4 linked regions of the Drosophila melanogaster genome follow. The protein of the gene in region 1 interacts with the protein of each later gene in a pairwise test. Each region holds a gene or a part of one and is shown on either strand. Other genes may lie near its edges. The genes, in order: CG11200, CG8191, CG33144 and CG7220.

The links.
Region 2: the proteins of CG11200 (region 1) and CG8191 interact in a two-hybrid assay, tested with the Drosophila melanogaster proteins (one large-scale study listed by BioGRID).
Region 3: the proteins of CG11200 (region 1) and CG33144 interact in a two-hybrid assay, tested with the Drosophila melanogaster proteins (one large-scale study listed by BioGRID).
Region 4: the proteins of CG11200 (region 1) and CG7220 interact in a two-hybrid assay, tested with the Drosophila melanogaster proteins (one large-scale study listed by BioGRID).

Annotation. Positions count from the first base shown.
Region 1 is NT_033778.4:20,303,973-20,310,229, forward strand, and holds CG11200 (uncharacterized protein), read right to left. Parts: upstream 4,700-6,257; 5' UTR 4,589-4,699; intron 4,528-4,588; 5' UTR 4,175-4,527; intron 2,665-4,174; 5' UTR 2,624-2,664; coding exon 2,443-2,623; intron 2,380-2,442; coding exon 2,272-2,379; intron 1,496-2,271; coding exon 1,114-1,495; intron 1,057-1,113; coding exon 660-1,056; 3' UTR 545-659; downstream 1-544. Other genes in the region: CG13868 (uncharacterized protein), read right to left, coding at 5,601-5,774, 5,841-6,211.
Region 2 is NC_004354.4:15,730,471-15,734,164, forward strand, and holds CG8191 (uncharacterized protein), read left to right. Parts: upstream 1-1,707; 5' UTR 1,708-1,720; coding exon 1,721-2,758; 3' UTR 2,759-2,771; coding exon of another isoform or gene 2,772-3,083; 3' UTR 3,084-3,193; downstream 3,194-3,694. Other genes in the region: HUWE1 (HECT, UBA and WWE domain containing E3 ubiquitin protein ligase 1), read left to right, coding at 1-3, 67-232, 307-497, 575-677; CG12379 (uncharacterized protein), read right to left, coding at 2,772-3,083, 3,241-3,453.
Region 3 is NT_033778.4:10,795,710-10,800,356, forward strand, and holds the start of CG33144 (uncharacterized protein), read right to left. Parts: upstream 3,001-4,647; 5' UTR 2,631-3,000; intron 1-2,630.
Region 4 is NT_033778.4:10,731,099-10,737,931, reverse strand, and holds CG7220 (uncharacterized protein), read right to left. Parts: upstream 5,234-6,833; 5' UTR 5,136-5,233; intron 2,552-5,135; exon of another isoform or gene 2,113-2,551; 5' UTR 2,009-2,112; coding exon 1,877-2,008; intron 1,276-1,876; coding exon 1,184-1,275; intron 1,040-1,183; coding exon 937-1,039; intron 873-936; coding exon 641-872; intron 576-640; coding exon 562-575; 3' UTR 507-561; downstream 1-506.

The sequences.
Region 1 (6,257 bases):
TCTCTTCATATAGCGATAGAGTCTTTTTTGGATATGCATTAAATATGAGATTGTTTTTTTTTTTGCAGCCATCATGTCGTTCGCTTTTAAGCGTTCAGTTCGCTTAAGTGACAGTCGAGTTGTAGTTGCTTCGCAGTTGTTTTTCGAGATGATACACCTACCTACCTGAGTTCCTCCGTCTCCGTACCGCTCTCCTGGAACCCCCATACTCCTGTCCCCTTAACTGAAGTCGATTAAAATTCCTCCAAAATGTTGAATGTTAATCGCTCATTGTTTGAGGAGGCGCACAAAATTAAATTGTTTGCTTTTTCGAAAATTTGACATACAGCAGATATGACGTGGTTGTTGTTGTTGTTGTCACCTTTCAAGCTGCCGCCGCCAACTGCTGAGTGCATTTTCAAATAAATGTTTCTTGCAGCTCTTTTAATTGCATTCCCTAGCCCCACGATGGCAATCAAGCGCAGACAAGTTAATTAAAACCTAGCACAGCAATTTGACCAGATTAGCATCAGCAGATCCTGAACACAAAACACCAGCTGCAGTTCTATATAAAAATGTTTTTATACAAAAGAAATCGATTTACAAAAAAGCTGACGGTATCTAGAAAAGTACGTTGCACCAGTAGGAGGAATGTGAGATAGACTGAGTGTGGAGTTCATTTAGTATTCGCCATTTCCGTACTGCTGGATTTTCAACAGGTCGCAGGAGAACTGGAAAAGCTGCTCGCACTTTGCCGGCTTCTTGGCATCCGGATGGAAAGGACCCTTTCCGCCGTTGGAGAGGTAAGTACCACCCTGACCCTCGATGGAGGGATCAATGGCCGCGAAGACCACCGTGCGGGATCCCCTTTCCGGAGTCTTGAAGAATAGCTTCTTGAAAATGGGCACCGATGTGGTGGCCGAGTGCTCGAACAGATCCGTGTCCACAATGCCCGGATGCACCACATTGACCTGCACGTGCGACTTTTCTGCATCCAGCAGTGTCTGCAGATGGCGGGTGAACAAGATCTGAGCAAGCTTTGACTGACTGTAGGCGGTTCCCGGGTAATAGTGTTTTCTGCAAGCAGTAAAACCTAGTAAATAAGGAACTTAGGCGACAATTACTCAAACGTACGTTCCGTTAATGTCCTTATAGTTGATGCGTCCAATGAGATTCACGCAGGAGCTGACGTTCACGATCCTGGAGTTCCTTCCCTCCTTGCCTGCCGCCCTCAATTGAGGCAGAAGCAGGTGGGTGAGCAGAAAGTGTCCCAGGAAGTTGATGGCAAAGTGCGACTCGTAGCCATCGGCGGTTAGTTTGAAGGGCGCAAACATGATGCCAGCATTGTTCAGCAACAAATCCACTTTTGAATACCGCTCCTTGATGAGCTGAGCAAATGCCTTTACGGATTTCAGATCCCCAACATCCAGTTGCTCGCAGATGAGCTTGCCCTTGGTAGCATTCAAGTCGACTATCGATGCAACTGCGGTTTCGGCAATTTTGGGATCACGAACGCCTGCAATAAATGCATAAATTAAAGTGAGCCACTGACAAAAATTGCTGAGAGGACAGAACTTAATTAATAAATATCCTTTAAAACACTTTTTTATGAGTGTTTTCTAATCTACCCTATTTTACACAAAATATAAGCAATATAAGCGACACCTAGCGCCTGTATAGCGCACTTCAAGCTCTGGTTTTTACATCTATACATTTTACATAAGTTCAATGTAGAAAATAACAGTTGACTGTTAAATGATTAAAATGTTTATTATTTTAACTAGCACTAACAATAAAATTAAATATATTTAAAAAAAAAAATGATTTCTTAATAAATGAATTTTCTTAGAGACTAAAATATGCAGTGAAATTGTAAGTAAACGTATTAAAGCAAGAAATTGGAAAAGCAACAAAAAATGCCATTTTCAAAAATGTTAACGAGAAAATACAAAATAATTATTGATAACTGTGACCCTTTTCATTGAAATTTAGAATTCTTTTCTCCGACCAGTCAATGAACTCTTATCGCTTGTCTTTCCCGAAAATCGAGACTTTTACGCGACTTGGTTAGATAATGAAATCAGGAGAATGGGTCATGATTTCTGTATCGCATTGACAAGGGTGGGAATGGATCTGCATTTCGACGATCGTTTATTCGATGTTCGATTTTAGCTTGCCGAGCACGTGCACTTGCAGCACGGTTAAATGTTTGTGGAATTCATAAGCAGATCGCCGACTTATGGATAGGAATAGGCCTGAAACAAGTTGTTGGGCGGAGATTGGTCAACTCACCCATGACGACAGTCATGTCGCAGGCCAGCAGCTTCTCCACGATCCGCAGTCCGATGCCGCGATTGCCTCCGGTGATGACAGCAATGCGGTCCGGTTGTTTATAAAGTGCTTAATGGATAATGGCAACAATTAGTGATCGTGGAATAAGCATCGGCTAGCAAATTGACTTACCCACTCGATCCCGTGCCTTATACTGGGCATCGTGGACGAGCCCAACGATTCCCAGGTACTGATACCGAAACTCAGTCTTCCACTCGAACCAGGACTTCGGGAACTCCTTGGTGGTCTTCGAAAAGAGGAACGCACACAGCAGCAGGCCGACGAAGAAAATCCACAGCAAAGTTCCCAACATTATACGCTCTTATCGGATCGGATCGCCGTCTCTCCGGAACTCTGCAAAGGGAATACGGGTTTTGATAAGAAATCGGGCAAAGTGCGCCGGCTGATAACGAAAACCGATCCTGGTTCGTCACAGACATTAGCCATTAGCCGGCAACATTATCAATATTGGCGGGTAAATTCGCCTCGAGTGCACTTTGCGAAACTCTTCAACTGAGTCAGCAAGATTTCGCGATCCGAGTGCCAGCGGGTACATCTGTTGGCCATATTCGTTTGGAATTCTAGGTGTGTTGGCCATATATACTTGCCAGAGATTGATTCGTGTCACGATTCAGCTGCGAATAGTCGAGCTTCTACAATTATCATGCCTTTATACTATCAAGTTGGCGTAACAGTAGAGAGTAACTAATCACTTAAAAATGTGGTTTAATTATAAAGCTCGAACTTTTTGTAGAATGATCTTTGCTATCAATTAAAAAGGCTTTTACAAAAGTGCTGTTTTAACGCACTAATCCTAATTCGACAGAGTAACAAGAATGATGTTTGAAATCTCAGAATTTTCACCAGGAAACCCCATTTTTGGGGATAGAAGTCTAATAATTAATAAACTTTTTAATGATATTTATCAGAGAGCGTGTTCTGAAATCGACTTGACCCCATTGGCCGTCGAATAGCTTGAGTTGTTGCCTCTTTCCCTCAGTTTTTTCTTATTTGCCCAGCAATTTCCAGCGTTGGTTAGCCGGGCTTATAAAGCTAACGCGATTGTTTGGCCACCGATATTTGCAGTGCATATTTGCCACCTGCACTTTGAGCGCTGCACTGGAATCTTAATTTTTAATCGGGCGGGGAAACAATTAAATTAATTAGACAGAAGATAGTTGAGCGCGTTTATTGGGAGACAGCGAGAGAACTGGCTTAGGTGTGCTCGTAAAATGCTAATTAAAAACCCAAACAGCGGCGGAATGAAAGTTGAAGAGCCGAGCTTCGAGCCAAAGCCAATAAACGGGGCCAAAATAGTGAATTTGGGGCCAGAGCTGAAAATGACTGAGGCGCTAAACAGCAACAACTAGGGTCGGTTTCTTTGGGCTCTTCTTGCGGGGGCAGCGGGGAAATATCTGTACGGACGACCTAGCATAGTACACTGCGAAAAACTCTTTAGTATTGGTGTAAAATATAAAAATATTTACAAATTGTACTGCGCAGAATGGTTTTCCATTTTAAGAAAGTTAAGGAAATAGAATTATTTTTCTTGAGTGAAGGTTGTTTGAAATTCTCTTAATTGCTTTATCTTTTATAATAGATTGCACTTAAAAGATAAGAACTTCACTACAAATTAGAAATAGGTTTTGTATGAATTTTTCATTTTTCACATAAAGTAATTCCATTTTTTCTGTGTGTACGCATGACACCACGAACGTGCTGTCAAGAGTTTCGACTTCCGTCAACAAAACGCAAAAGCTTAGCAGTTTTACTGTTGTTGCCGCGGTCGTTTTTAATTTGGCTGCATATGGTTAACTTTCTTTTTCTATTGTTGTTGCCCTTGCAGAGGGCTTTTCAATTTTACCTTCAATTTGGCTGACGCAGACGAAAATGCACCTGTGCCTCGATTTCTATGCTAATATTGACACCCTTTTTTTCAATTAAAGGCTGCGGCGGCGCTTCCTCGTCTTTTTGTTTTCTTTCACGTTTTCGAAGAGGATCAATCGCTGGTGTTTGAAAACCGGTTTTTCCAGCGGGCCCTTATTTTCGCCACAACCGCTCGGCGAGAAATTCAAAAGCGAACTGAACGTTAGGTTTTAATTGCGCGCCTTTCCGCCAAGAACTTGATCCACGATTGTTGTTGTTTTGTTTTGGCTTATTGCCGCTGGTCAACAGGTGAATTTTACCCACTTGCCGGCTGATCACGCAGAAAAACAGCTGATATTGTACAATTACGTGGTTATGCAATGGTTAAGCGGGTCGGTCGGCGTGTTGTTACCTTAGTGTGCACTCACAAAAACGCTGATTTGAAACAACTTAATTGAAATAACTGCAGACAAGCGAAAATCCAAGGTGGATATACATCGATGGCACCAGGGCTGCACTTTCTCTGTTTCAAAATATCGATTGTTGATGTAATCATCGATATCTGCCGTCAGTATGCATTTTTCTTTATTTTGTCCTTATTCATTTGTAAATCATAAGAAACCTGAGGTTTTTAAACAAATGTTTTTATTACAGAGAAACAGAGTTTGCGTGTGCAAAAAATACCTAAATGTTGAGCTAAGCTTATTAACAGTAACATGTCTATTCTATGTTAAGCTACTGTTACCAAACTAATCGATATCACTGCCATAAAAATATCGAAATTCAAATTTAAGGCAATAATACACCTTTAATCTTTTCATGTTAGTTAAAGTTCAAGTAAAATTATGTTTTAAGTCTCCCAACAAAATACCTTCTTTCTTTTGCTAGCTGATTTATTTATTGAACCGAAATAGTACAGTGCATTTAAGTGTTTAAACGGAAATATGTTCGTACAACAATTACAATTTATGTTTTGCCTTGATACCAGTTATAACTAATTTTGCCATTATATAGTTGCGCATAAGTATATATATAGTTTGAAATTAGAAGAACCTAAGCGAAACATTGAAGTCTAAACTTTGCGCATTTCTTTTAAATATTTTGAATAAAATTTCGTTTCGCTTTCGATTAAATAATTCAGTTGGGATTACCATATAGAGCGTGTTGTCGTGTTTATAGGTGAATAAATATTTTGAAATATATACTAGACTAAATTGAATATATACTTGAATCGTGTGTGCTGGTGTAAGAGGTGCCTATATGCTACTAAAAAGAATATTACTGTGGAAAGGACAAAGTATTCAAAGTATTCAAATAGGTTCGGAACTCTAAGTTGCAGCTGCGTTGTCAATGTCTTTTATCGCCTGTTCCTCCATCTTCGTTTCCGTTTCCGTAGCAGCGACATCCTTAGGCTCCTTTAACTGTCAATTCTCCACGGACATGTTGCCGATGTCATCGTTTATGGCCAGCACCTGGCTGATGAAGCTCTGGTCGGTGACCACCTCGGCCAGGGATTTGCACAGTTCGGTCAATTCCGGCAGCGGTATCTTCAATTGCGGCGCCAGCCTGCTAAGATGTTGACCCACATAGTCCGGCAGCTGATGGGTGATAATAACTGGGTTAGTAATGGGTAACCATTGGCTATAGCTATCAGTGATCCTTACCTTTCCCTTGCCCACTTTAAACGCGCTGAACATCAGCTTCGTCCGCACTCGCTGCTCATTGGGTCCGTCGTAGAAGATGGTGAGGTAGGCCTCCTGCCCATTGGCCACCAGCGGGAAGTAGATGCCCGCATAGACCTGACCCTTGGCATCGCGGGAGAGTAGCGATCGGAAGTTGTACACCAGATTGCGGCGCACGGTCACGTCGATGGCCGTGATGTACTCTTGGGCCACGTAGATCAGCGATGTCTTGTAGCTGGTATCCTCGCCACGGATCTCGCGCTCCTTCCACTCCACGAATTTCCCATTCTGCTGACTGTAGGCATAGCAATAATCACGCTGCAGATGCGGCTCCTTGGATTGGGTGAACCAGCCTAGAAACATATTGCATCCATCAGTATATATGTATTACAATAGGCT
Region 2 (3,694 bases), on another chromosome or scaffold:
GCAGTAAGTACACATATATTTATATTCCATGCTATGGATTTTAAATCGTGCTACTCCCCACAACAGATTGGACGCATTCCTTGAAGGCTTCTACGACATTATTCCAAAGCATTTAATTTCGATATTCAACGAACAGGAACTGGAACTTCTCATATCCGGCCTGCCGGATATTGACATTGAAGATCTAAAGGCGAACACCGAGTACCACAAGTACACCTCTAAATCGGCGCAGGTGAGACCATGATTGTGCATCTTCCTCCATCCTCCATCCCTCTCTAAACCATGTATTTTTTACCCATTCATTAGATTCAATGGTTCTGGCGTGCACTGCGTAGCTTTGACCAAGCGGACCGCGCCAAGTTCCTGCAATTCGTCACTGGCACATCGAAAGTGCCGCTGCAGGGCTTCGGCTCGCTGGAGGGCATGAACGGGATTCAAAAGTTCCAAATCCATCGGGACGATCGATCCACTGATCGCTTGCCCTGTGCACACACCTGGTGAGTAGGGATCCACAAGTCGCATGAATTGTTTGCAATGTCATAGACCGTATTAACTTACCCATCTCTGATTGCAGCTTCAACCAACTGGATCTGCCCATGTACAAGTCATACGACAAGCTGCGGAGCTGCCTGCTGAAGGCCATACACGAGTGCTCCGAGGGCTTTGGCTTCGCCTAAGGTGCGACAACTGTGACGGCAGCTTCAAGCACCAGCCGGCAGAGCCACCAGTAACCAACAAACCATGGACGCAACACTATTCCTACAACGCCCTCAAATACACGGGTGCAACGATGAGAAATGCATAATTGATTTGAATTGAACAGAACAGAAGAGAACAGAACAGCCACTGCAAATTTGCGATAGCGGCAACAGAAACTGCATACATAAACAGTACATATAGTTATATAGTATATATAAAAATGTTGAATTAATTATTAATTTTCGCGCCTATATATATATACAATATATATTTTCTTAAATTTTCAAAAGAAAACGGAAGAAAACTAAGGAAACCTAACAAAAAAAAATATAAAATATAAAACTGATACAGACGCGAAAAGTATATTCGATTTAAAATTCTCTGCGCAACTCATCTTTTTTTTTATTAATTTTTTGGAATCTATCTCTGTCGTTTTGCACATTTTTATCAAAAGAAAAGGATTTATATAAAGAAAAAAAATACACTGACACATTTTCATTTACCCAAACGCGAAACCGAATAGAAAAGGATTAAACGTAGTTTATAGATCGCAAATGCACATAAACAGATTACACACTTGGGTTACTTGTTTACTTAAGTGAATGTACGTACCGAAGATAAAGGGAAGCAACAGAAAAAATATTTAAATGGATTAAAGTATTTTGATGTAAGAGATAAGTCCTTATGTTAATGCATTTTATGTTTACCTTTGAAATAATGAGACGCAGATGTAACTTAAAGAATGTGGAATAAAGAATAAGCTCATTTATCACAATAAATTTTCAGAAATCACTTCACATGCTCATTATAAATGCGGCTGGAAAGGATGGGTACGCCATATATATAAATAAATACATATATAAGGTCTTAATGTCGATCTCATTTAATTTGGGCGCCTTTCAATTTGAAATTCGATTCTATCGCAACGGGCAACGACAGATCGATATCTCATGCACAGCAAACCGATCGACATTATCGATTGTGACATCGAATTTTCGGACAGCTGACAGCTGCAGTCCGTATGGATTTGTTTATCCGAAAAGAACTGAGCCTATCCACGAGCAGCGTGCTTGAAGATGTGGCGCCGCACTGTCTCAAGCTACTCACATGGCTGCACGATTGTCAGGAGGAGATGCACTCCGAGCACCGCCATCTGCGACTGAGCCAATCCGTTGTGGAATCCCTGCTAAAGGCTCACCTGTACCTGTTCGAGTGCTATGATCGCTTCGGGCAATCGCTGGCCGAACGCTGCGATTGCCGTGGCTTCTTCGCTAGCTGCTCTGCATTGGTGGATCGACGGAAGTGTATTCGTGAGCTGTGTACCACCATCGTGAACACACGAAAGGGAGAAACTCATGCACCACTGCTTCATCTTTCGCATCGAACGTTGGCCGAGATTCAGCCTGCGTGGAGTGAGATCGGTGATTTGGACTGGTCGGCAATACGCCAATCGGATGCGCTTTCTTCCAGCGATTTTATCAATCCCGATCTTCAGCAGATGCGACGGCTAGTCAAGCGGATTGGCCGCTTATCCAGCCTTGAGGACATGCAGACCGCAATAAAGCGCTCCATGGAGCTGATTGAGTACCAGGTGTGGCTGCAGCTTTTTAGGGAGCCAAAGGACAGCGAAATTCACAAGGATTGCTACCTAATGCGCCACATGATCTGTGACACTTTATCGGAGGGCGGATCTACCGCTTGCACCGGCTTCCTGCACAATATCTTTCTGTTCGTATCGCAATCCGCCAATGAGATGAGATTCTGGGCCAGTATGGAGCATGTACGTCTGGCCGGCAGCCTTATTGCCTACCTAATCGACCATTGGAATCGCCACCTGCCCTACCTAGACTTGGATGAGATGCAATTGACCGCTGATGCACCAGTCACGGCTGTCTCGCAGCTGCCCGTGAACGAGGCCACATACATAACCTACCTGATGCTGGCCACCGGATCCATATGTCGCCGGCAGTTCGCCCAGCAGCTGCGTGCCCAACTACCCCCCAATTCCTGGACACATTTGCTGGAGCTGCTAAATAAAGTGGCATTCGTTTTCACTTAACTACACTACGAGTTTAATCATGTTTCGGCAAAAACTCGCAGTTGCCATCGGTCAGGCGAACCACCTTCTCGCCCTTCTCGGCCAGGATCTCCTCGATGTTGCGCTTGCCGTCCAGATCTGTGAACCAGTTCAGATTGTCGGCGATCAGGTGGTGATTGGAGCAGCCCTCGCAGGTCACGATAACAACGCCGCGTTGGTATGCCAGCTTCGAAATGGTCTTCATGTTCCGGGTCTGGCACACCTTGCAGGTGTAGATCAGCTGCATCTTGGCCTCCAGTTTCGCCAGAGGAATGCTATTCGTGGCCACCGTCTTGTCCGCATCGTCCTGGGAGCAGAGCAAAATAATTATACTTAACTTTTTTGTTATACATAATTTTAAATATTGCATTCCATTTATAATATTTTAAATTACAAATGTAAATAACATTATTTAATATCAATTGGGTAGTTTATTTGTATTTACAACTGATTTCCAAACATACCACTGGCTTACTGCAGTGTATACTGCGGCAAATGCACGTGTAGTTGTTGCTGCTGCTAAAAACAGCTGTTTGTGTTTTGGTTGCAAAGTGATGCACTTGCAACTGCAATTGTGGACTATTTAAAGCATCAATTTGTGTTCTTCGGGAACTGGTAAGTAGTGCGCCTCTTCTCACACCTGCGCTGATTTTATAAAATTTTTTTAGGGCGGACATATCCTCGATTTTGTTGATATTATTTAACTCAATCGAAAAGTGTGAAATTCATTTAAACTTAGAGATGGCACCTCCTTTCATTTCAAAACTAGTCGCGAGTCACGATTTTAAAAAGTTACTATAGCTGTCACTGGTGCTGATAAAATTTGCTGTAACTCACAGACATTAAAACCAATTGTTAATATAAATTCTACTGTGAAATATTAAGTTAAGTTATTAATGAAGTCCACCTGGACTCTGG
Region 3 (4,647 bases), 9.5 Mb from region 1:
AAAGGGCTCGATTAGGGGACGATGTGAGGGGGCGTGTACTATCAGCTGTTTCCCATTATGACTACAGCGGAAATACACAAGCAAGTGGAAAACAGTCGAGGAAAAGCGGAAGCAAAAAAAAGGCCGCCACTGGCAATGCAAACACAGTAACACACTAAGGCACAAGCAAAACTCGCTTACACACGCAAGGCGATAAAAATAAAGCGAAGCCCACGGAACGAGAGGCAAAAATTGGAACTAAATGCGTATACGTAATGTGATAGAACCCACCTAAAAAAAAGGGAACTACGGAGTGATAATAAAACAATGGCACCGTTGACGACACTTCTCAACAAACATTAAGTAAGGGGAAAGAAACTTTAAATAGCTTTTTTTTTCGAAAAATATCCTTTAAACTCAAGTTCAGATAGATGTAAAATAGCCCTATTTTCTATATGAAGAAATGACCACCTATACTGTATCTAAATATTTTGTAGTTACTATTTTTCTTCGTTTTTGTAGTTCACTCGATAAGGTTAAGCAAAAAATGCCAGCAAAAAAGCAGAATCGAAAGGAAAAACAACTTTTCGTGGAAATACCGTGGTGAAAATCGAAAACCGAGAAAAGCGAAAAACAAAAAAAAATGTTATAACCACACAAAACTCACACATCCAGACACATAAAGCTACTTAAGCCCGGACACATCGCACACATTCAAGCGAGGGGAACCCCCCCCCCCCCCTGACAGCTGCCATGGCAAACGTGCGAAAGGGACGAAAGAGGCGATAGGAGCGACAGGGACGGGCAGAAACAAACAGTGGGACACGGAGCTTGTCACTTTATTTGGCTCGATTTCAATGCACTGCCAACTTGGGCATATTAGTATGCAAAACTGATAATCAATAGGCGACGACTCAATGCCCAACGCTCAGTGGAGATTATGGCGCAATTTGCATACGGGCATGTGCCATTTGAAGATGTCACCACCCGTATCCCTTATACCGGGAAATCCTCTGAATTCGTCCTCTCAACTCCGACCAGCGAAGGACTCGCTGTCGTTTAATTGAGCCAGACCATCGCCAGCGTACAATTTGGTGTTCTATGTGTGGAGCGCGAATTTTTTTCGCCCTTAATTGAAATACGGGATAATGACTCCAAAAAGCTTTCAGTCTAACTTGCCCTGCAACGATGGATTGCATAGATCAAACATTTGAAAGTGCAAGAAACTGGCTGGAAAACTGTACAGCAAATCGCAATTTGGTGGCCAATGTCATTTGTCAAACTATAAAATTGGGTTTTCTTAACTAATAAGCTTAAACAACTTGTAAAATAAGTTGTCACACTGATCGATTCTTTAGCTCAAAGAAAAAATAAATTTCTTTTGAATAAATATGTATTTTATAATATTAATGCCAATTAAAAAAGTACTCGCATTCAAGGTAGGTTTTCTCCAAAACATTTATTAATCTACACGAGCATTTTTATACCTATTGCTTTCCTAATATTGAAATGAAATGCTGGCAGGAAATACCATAAATATGAAATGCTATACCTTTTCATCGGTTCCTTACGACCTCTTCGCTGAAATTTTTCAATAACTCTCTGGGGATTTTATGGTCGCAATTTGCAATTTATCATCAATTTGATGTGCAAAGGGCCGAACATAAAAGTGGCTCAAATGGTAAATGTAACAAAGGGCAATAACGACGTATGTATATGGCTGCAGCAGGCGACTGACTAACCCCCAACTAGATCCATAAGCGTAAAGCTTGATTTTCTATTGATTTCTGGTCAGAAGCTCACTGCTATCACCTGAAATTCTGAGTGAAATGCACCTGCTGCTCCTACACGAAGAGAAACGTCACACTCTTTGATAGGTTAATGCCAGTACCGAATTAAGTTGCCCATACATTAAAACCTAAAATCTCTTTTTTATTGCAGTACAACAGAAATTTTGAACATTACAATTCATAGTGGTTTATTTTATGCGAATTTATTGTTGTTGCCCATTTAAAAGATTATGAAAATATTTTATTTTATATATTTATCATGTAATGTATTCATGTACTACAATTTTCTCCAAGTATTCCTGAGTTAACTCTTCAGCAGAATAGCAAAAACTATAGCATACTTATGGGCCGCTTTGAGAGTTGCCATAAGACGCTTAATAACTGTGAGTAGTGCCCAGCAGGGGCGTGTATGAGGAGGGCACATGGCAAGGACATGGGCGTCGAATTGAGGGTACTCCGTCCGATGTACGTGCCAATGGCCGTAGTCGCAGTAATAAACACACGCACAGCCCAGTTAACACAGAAATATGCCCCAAGTGTCAGGGCGGGCAAAACATGCGATGATGAGTGGGGAAAGTAGAGAGGAAATGCGGGGGGGGGGAGCCCAAGGAAATGGGAAATGGATTTTCAGTGGCCTTTGTAATTGTTGTTTTTTGTATTATTCTTGTTTTTCTTTTGTTTTTTTTATAATTACTGCGATAGAGCTGGTTTTTGTGTGTAAGTGTGTTGCTGTGGTAAGCACACATAACGGTAATTTAATTAACATACATAAACACTCACACCGGCACACATAAGGAGAATGTGGCACACAAAGAAAGGTGAAAGGTTGGCGGAGGGGGTTTTACTTCTTTGGGCACTTACGAATCGGTTTCACAAACTTTTCGACCCTTTGTAATCGATTTCGAAATGGGGGTCTAACACGGTTTTAATTAAGATATTTATACTTTCGAAAAGCACTTGACAATTTTTGATTATTTTCAATATACTATTTTAATTCTTGATTTGATCAACAAGCGCACACTAATTTCGGCTATACTTTTTATATATTTATAATTTTGTAAATTTTTTTTTATGATTTAACTATATATCTTTGGAGGTGTGTGTTTACAGGTTCCTTTTTGATTTTATTGTGTTGGCATTTTGCTGCTTTGCCGCCGGATGTTGCACGTTGCGCCAGCACTTCCGCTTTGCGACCGAACCAACCGTCGAGAAACGCGTTCCGCAAGCGAATAAACAAACGGACTTCCACCGCACACATTTGTCGCACTTCCATGGCCAGTGTTGCCGTGCTGCACGTCCTGCGCACTGCGCACGACGCGAGAAGAGAGAGTTTCCCTCTCCCGCTGCTCTCTTCGAAATGCAACCTGCTGACGGAACATCTGTGTTTTTGTTATTATGCTTTTGTCAGGGCAACAGCAACAACTGTAGCATTCAATTGCAATTGTGGCAACCGAACATCCATGTATTTCAATTACACTCACTCGTATGTCGGGGTCACCGAAAATAACTGCCGACTAATTGATGGCGCACAAACGATTTAGGAGCACATTTTGATTGATTATTGCGAACTTTACATATGCATAAGTATGAACGTATACGTCCAGTAATTAATCTGAGTTGTCATAGGAACAAGATATAGATATCAAATATTTAACGAATTGCTATTGTCTAAGATGGTCGTATTCATCAGAAATATATCTGAAATATACATATATCAATATGTGTAATAATATAGACAGGTAATTTCTTCTAGCCAACTATATTGGTATTGAAGTTTAGAAGTGGGTTATTGCAATGATTTTTATTTTTAATATTGGCTTTATGCCTGTGAAAATAATCAAAAATTGGTAATAATGTCAATTTAAAGGAACCCGGTTTTTTCGAAGCACAAATATGTGGCTTGGACAGCTCAAGTACAGCGCCTTTTTTGCAGGACGATTTCCACACAATTGCAGGATTTTGTGCCTCGTCGACGACGCTGCTTAATGTCAAGGTTTTTTGGCTGCTGTTGCAAGTGCAGCAGCAGCAGGAAAAACAGGAAAACCAGAAACGGCCGAATGAGAACGGCACGTGGCCAGCCCCCGCAACGAAAAGGGGCCAGAAAGGGGGTCGATTATGCCATTACCAGGGCAAAGCTGCACCTTCCGCCCCCGGAACCCCCAACCCCCTGCCAGTGCGCCGCGCATGAATGCCGCGACAGACCCGATTCGAAAGCCAATGTCAAGTGCACGCGGCACAAGGATATGGAGGCAGGAGTATATTACAGGCCGCCATCTGCCCCACTGTCAGTTCCCCTTCCTCAGTGCCCACAGCAGCTACAGTGGAGCTTCTATAAATTGACATTGGGCTTTCATCAATATTGAACTCTTCGATATGGACTGGCTTATGAAGACTCGTTTATAATAACACATAAATCCTATTTTCATATACGGCTTAAGTTTGACATACACAGGCTCGACTGTACCTCATCATCGAGCATTAGGACGGTCGTTGTTGTGACCTCCAAATTGGTTGGCACACTCACCTAAATGGGAGTTTATCTATATTTTATGTGCACGACTTATACCTCAGGCCCATTTCACTTGATCACCAATTAGTGACTATATGCTCAATATTTGCCAATATCAAACATCAGGTGCTTCGTCAATTAACTTGTTAATTAGATAGGAAATAGATTCTGTGGTTATAATTGTTTTTGTACCGTATTATAATTGTTACTACTTATTGTAGACGAATTTACATTAATCGATATCCATCCAAATTAGTCTGCGAATTCATTAGTTCAACAAACTACTCAAGGATGATGAACTTTTACTAAAACTAATTCCGTTCATCGGCTTTAAATAAAATAAATCAACTGTTTCATAATAGTAATTAA
Region 4 (6,833 bases), 9.6 Mb from region 1:
ATATAAGCTGGGATGGAGGCGATGTGTGTGTGTGCTGGGTCACGCTACTCGGGCAGAAAATGCCGCGAACGATGCATGTGGAATGTGGAAGCAGCAACTGGCGCGAGGTGCCAGAACTATCAAACGTTCAAGTGGTTTGCATACGCTTAGTGGTTAAATGGTAGGATAACATTTAATTTAGACATAAATTTGGTCTTAACAATCTAATTAAAATGTTAACATTTAATAATAGTTTTTCGCACACGCCTTTTGTTGATTACACATAGCTACAATTAGAATTGTTTGCATGCGCCACGATTGTTTGCCAAACACTACCCATAAGTTTCTCGCTAACTTCATTTACTTTGTTGCACATTACGTTCGCATCCGAGTGCACTTGGGTTTTAGTATGCTCCACTCACGAGCAGTGCTTGACCGCCGTCCCACATTTCTTGGATTTCTGGGGGCATCTCGCCGTGTTCTACTTCTGTATTGCTAATGGTGTTTTTTTTTTTTTTTTTTTTTTTGGTTGGATGCGCAAAGCAAACAATAGCAGGCAGTATTAGTAAATGGCAATTTTAACTAAACAGAATCATCTGAAATAAACAATTAGTCAAGTTTAGAGTCAGTGGGCTTTAGTTGGAAAATCACGCATACGTACCGTGGTACCACCATTTAGTCTTTTTAGGATTCTTATTACAGGTTTTTACGTATATCGTGTTGTCCGGCGGACGCTTCTTTTCGCGACAACTACTCAACATGGAGGCTATGCTAAGGCACACGGACTGCACGGACAGCGCCGGGGACCAGTCCTCGGTCAGAATGGATAGGCAGATGTGTCCGTTGCTGTAGACATGCGGATGCACCGGTATATTGGTGCCGATGAAGGTCACCTGGAAATTAAGAGAACATGGTTAAGATTCCATACAGCTTCGCTTTGTTCAACTGAATTATTACCTCTGGCGAATCGAACGGATATTTATTGTTGAATTTGAAAAGTAGCTGGAAGTCCTCGCCCTCGTAAAGTGTGCCCTCGAAACCTTTAATGTTTATTTTCCATCTGTAAACAAAACAGCGATATTAGTGTCAGCTTCCAACAACTGCGGGCTTTGTTTTCAGTGCGAATTGCTGAATTGCGAATTGATTTAAACCAGTTTCAGTTGTCGCTGAACTTGGCCTACTCCGCCTCGAAGTCCATACTTACTCGGATAAATTTTGTTGTACGCTCTCGGTGTCGATGGTTACGCCTGGTGGCGGCTCCTTGATCAGGGACATCAGCTCTTTGTGTAGGCGGCGCTGTGGGGCAGAAAATAAAATTTAAGACTTATATTAGTTAATGACTCGGACAGTTCGCCGTATATCTTATCGCGAAACACACCTACAGCTGGGACATTCTACTTAAGAGTTCTCAAGACTTATTTTTTCCGCTCGCCTTATCGGTGCGCCATTTCTCCTTTGGCTTACAAACGCCAATATACGCTATATGCCTACGCGCGTATAAATAAACGAAATGCTCGATAAGATAAAAACAAATGTCACTGAAATTTATAGAACCGACGATTGTTTTTCCGTCTTTCGGATCCCCCTTCTTATCGAGTGATTGGCACTTGCAGGCCCGTTTTCTGTACCATAAACAAGTATCGCACCGCTGCCCCCACAAATGAGCTGCGGATAAATGGGTTTGATCGATAAGGTTTGGATTTGGCAATGCCAAGAATAATAAAAACAAATCTTGGTACAGCCTTGAAGAGAATCAACAGAAGATTCACGCAGATTTCTTGAAACTCAAAATACTACATACTCATGATGCAATGGAACACTATATGTATATTAACGACCAGTTGTTCGAACGCGATATCTGGCCAAAGTTCAGGTTTAATATCTCGAATATACTTGCCTCCCATCGCGAGTTGTCCAACTGCAAAGGTTTTCCGCACTTGGAGACCGGCGGTGTTTTGGGCTCCTTGGGCTCGGTTAAAATCTCCGATTTGGGTATTTTGTCTTTGGGTTTTTTAAACAGCTTCATCATTTTGTAGTTCTAGTTTTCACACAGTTTCTCACAAATTTTAGCTTTTGTTGTGTCACCTATAACTTGTCACTTTTAGGCAGATTGCTCTCGGCTTGCTGGGCTTGCTTTTAAGTATTTAAGTTAGTTAGTCGCACAGTTCAATATGCCAGCGTTTTTCCTAGGAGGCGAGAGTGGGCGTGGGGCATGGCAGTCATTTTATTAGCGAACCGATTCGTGTAGACCAATTGCGGCAACGTTCGTGGGACGACTGCAGGAAAGCGCCCAGAAAATTGTGGGAGAGACTGCAGGGCGAGTCGAGTGACGAAGCCCGATGTAGCGACGTGTCTCTGTGTACGTACTGTCGGGCACAAGTAGTAGAAGTCGTCGCCGCTTTCGGCACCTCTCCAATCGCACCACCCCCCGCTCTCACCCGATCTGTGTATACATATCTACGTTGGTTGTGCACTATCAAAAATGAGAATTCGCAAGTGCAGCGAGAAACGGCCCAAACTAGTTCGTTAACCTGAACAAGTTGCCCGTCCAGCTGGTTTGGTCCTAAACTTAAGTCGCGATTGTGTCCCCGGATCACGAAATGGTGGCTCTCACAGCCCCTCGCTCCACCAAAGGTATTGGCAGAAACGCTTATCGGACCACTGCCCTGGCACGCAGCCATTACCTGATAAGCACACGATTAGATTACAGCGACGGAAGTGGCGATAAGCACATCCTACGTATATGTTAATACAGTGTGGGAAAAGCTCTACGCATTGAGGTACCAAAAATATATTTATATATAATCAACAATTTTAATATTACGGAAGTTCAACTGGTAAACAGCACTTACTGAAGTTCATAAAGAAGCATTTTCCCAGTAAATTGCGAACTCATTTTGCTCACTGCACATACTCGAACAAAAGGAACACAAGTGTTCAAGACGGTTGCATACGTCAATGGGGCATACATTTCAATTGATGGCACAATGAAATCTTCGGCTTTTAAACTGAAATGAAGACGAGCGTCTGCTCATGATTAAAAGCAATCAAGCAGGGCCCTAGAAGATGATCGATTATATAAGTCGGACACTGGTTTACAGAGAACTGGTTCTAAATGAAGCGACAGATCGACAACCACTTAGCGAGGCCAATTTAAGTGGACCCATTAAATAAGTTCCGCAACCATAGTGTACTATAGTATAGTATATAGTATGATGGACCCAAATGGGCCGCCAAACGCGAAAAAATCAGCGCTGAAGTAGGCCAGACCAATAAACACGCGCCACACTCAGCGGGGGCTACTTGCGTTTATTTTAGACTCAATCAAACTTAGAGAGCAAAACAAAAGCTGCTTGAATCAGCCAGAAATAAATAAATAAAACTGCAGTTGAATGCCAACGTCTAGAAGAGCGCTGCCTGGGAAATTTTATGAAAACAGCCAAAACAACCAAACAATGGACTCGAAAAATTCTTCGGCAATAAAAGCCAAGCAGAGTGTAAACAAATAAACCAGCGACTGCCAGACTTTGGTGGCGCTGGAAAGGGGGGACGCGTCTGTTTTTTATTTATTTCGCTTTTTCCTAGAATATTTTTCGGCTAAGCACAATGGCCGAGGAATAAAGCGTGCCACCACCAAAATCTTTGTGGCTGATAAACATTTTGGCAGCTGATAGCCGCAGTATTTTGGAGGTAAGCCAGAGGGTGAAGGACGATTAGCGTAGACATAAACACATAAGATTTGGATTGTGGGTGGCTCTGCATGATGGGGAAATCATTTGAAATGAATCACGCCACGAAAAATGTTTTGGAAATCGCATTTGCTGGCCAACCTTGGGCTGTGAATCACACGCCAGGCTAAAATAAACAAACCCAAGCCACTACACTCTGGCCAAATTATGCAAGTGGGAGGCCCAGAGGCCCGGTCTGAAAACCATATAAAGCGATTTCCTGAACCGGAGAAATGCTAAGCGCATTACGGTAAAGGTGAAAGCGGAAGAACCGAGGGATGGGCCATAAGTGTGTATAATAAACTCGCTGCAACCTTAAACTTGGCAAGAAGCCACCTGCCCCCTTCGCCACCGGTCGATAAATCATCGGGTACGTCATCATCGTACATTCTGACGTCAGAGATCGTGCTGAGTGGCGTTTTATAAAATAACGAAAACCTGATGCGCCAGTTTCGGCTTTATCATCAGCTTGAAGAGAGCGGCAATCGACATGTGTCACGTTCGCGGCGGATGAGCAACAAGTTCCATAGCGCATCTAGAGCATCTCCTTTGGCCGATTGCCGCTGACATGGAAGTATTGTATATAGCCGTAGGGAAATCTAGGAAACGTAAGCCATCAGAACGAGGACGTGTTGTTGTCGCAGACACGTGAAAGGCGTGTGTAATTACAATGTGCGAAACTTGTTGCTGTGAGGAAAAGACAACGGAATCGCAGTAATTAAATTAAAATAAAATGAAATGTAAGCGACTTAAATGCAAAGGTGTCTCTCTTCTGAGATTAAAGCGTTCTTCGCTGTGAAGGTGATGCGAAAACTGATGAGGAAAGTGACATATTAATCGCAACGTCAATGAAATTGCGCAGGTACACTTTACAGCGATTAAATCTGCCGATCAGCGATCACGTTTGGCAGGTCAGTGACTTCAATAATCCCTCTATTGCCAAGACCTTATCAAGGAGACACTTTCAAACAGCTAAATTGCTCTGCTGCCCTTTGGATGCCATTCGAAACCGCCTTTTAAACTCAACCATAAATCACTAATTGACTCGCGGGAGTGCTAACAAGGCAAAACACTTCCTTATGGCGAATCTGATATTCTTTGTGATCGGATTGGCCCATGCATATTTCATGATGCCACTTCGAAGGCTTGATACTTCTTGATTTTCAACTACAGGCTGATATCAGATTTATAACAAAATTTGAAAACACTTTTCATGGTATTGAAAACGATCTATAAACTGGTTCTAAAATGTGGTGGCTATGGCTTGCTGTTTATTTATAGTGATCTAATGAGTAAATGGGAGCGCCGGGCAATTAATATGTTTCGCGCGTGCCAATGATGTCGCAATTGAGGAGCGGACAAGAGGATCCCTGGGAAAAACGCTTGGCCACCGGTGATCAATGGTTGGCAAAAGTTAAACCTGCGCACTTTGGATCCGAATCGAAGTGTTTTGGCTTATGAATTTCGCGTCGCGAAGAATCTGGCAGAGCGGCGCGTGCGAATTCGCGTGGCATCGAGCACTGAATGCGAGCGGCGTCAATGGCGATGAGCTTCTATTTTCGGCAGACGGGAGAGCGATCCGCGTGAGCCACATATGTATTGTACTTATGTGTATACAAAAGACATTGCTTGATGAGAAAGGTGCTGCATAAACGAACAATATTAAACCAGATTATATTTGCGCGGGTACAAAATGCTTATTAAAAAAGGTACACAATAAATATCCCGACCGGTAAAATATACAATACAATTTTAAATATAAGACGTATTGCCAAGGAGCAAAGATACAATGCCAAGACTTGATACATACACAGGTTTTATAAACTTTATGGTCATATGGCAAACCCTTAAAGTAATGAAATTCAAGCGAGCTATAGTAAACTCCCCATGCCAGGTTAACAGCTCCCTAAAGAGCATCGAGCTGGCAAGGATCGAAGGTTTTTTGCCAAAATGCAAATGCATTGTTTATGTGGCATAAACAAGCATTCAGGCGAAGGGAAAGTGCAATGAATGCCATGTAAACATTTGGCCATTGGGAGGCAGATGACATTGGGCCGTGTCTGTGGCCTGTGGGTGGGCACAAACAGCGGCCCGATTATGGCGGGGTTAGCAGCAATTAGCGACCGGGGTCAGACGACCTCGGCCTGCAGAAACCAATAAGTTATATAACGATAGACGGACTGGTAGATCGAGCAAGAAGCTGGACAAGCTTATCATTGCAGAGCGCTGTGTCACTCCTCAGCTATGAATCTCTAGAACGATAAGATGACGTTGAACCTTCTACTCGTGGGATGGCAGTCCGACACGCGATTGCGGAAGGGAAACCTTTCCGGATCGTTAACATTTGCCCAGCTGCGGTTAAAACCCTCTACTATATTGAATACGCCTCGGATATCGAAATTATCCCAAGACTTCAAAGGGAACTCACCTCGCTTGGCGACTTCGAAGACATACTACTACTGCTTGTCTTGGGGAAATCCGTCCTGGTGTTCCTGCCGATTCCTGCTCCAAGTCCTGGCTGCTCCGCTCGCTGGCTATCTGTTCCGTTTCCTCCGTGGCCAAAGCTCTGCGTAAAGTCTGCTTTTAAGTAAATGTTATTAGAAAAATAAATATCTGAGTGGATAGTGTGACCCTCCGGGCAGTGTTGAAAACGATTCGTGCATCGCACGTACAAATTGTGAGCGAAACTAAAAAATACCGCACTCAGCTGTTCCGCGTGTAGGTATTTTTGAGTTTTCCGCTTTGAACGCCGGTAAATAGTTTAATTTCAGCGGAGTACAATAATTGTTTTAAAAATTTGTCAATCCAATTTGGGTTGACAAGTTATACTGACGACAGTTTAGAAAAGTTGTTGTGGTCCCTAGAATGGATGTGTTTTTTTTAGATGTGTTTAGTACAAACAGCTGATTCAACACAGTATTTTCGATGTACAGTAGATACCCGTAAGAAAGAATAGGACAAACAATTAGCTTATTTTTAAGCTATGAAATATATGTATTTTGCCAGTTTTTTAAGCAAAGATGCTTTTTTTATTTAAATTTGGCTACATTTAATTCTATATCTATTTTAAAAGCTGTATCTCGTATTGAATACTCACTGTTACATTAATATTTCGTTATACTTAAT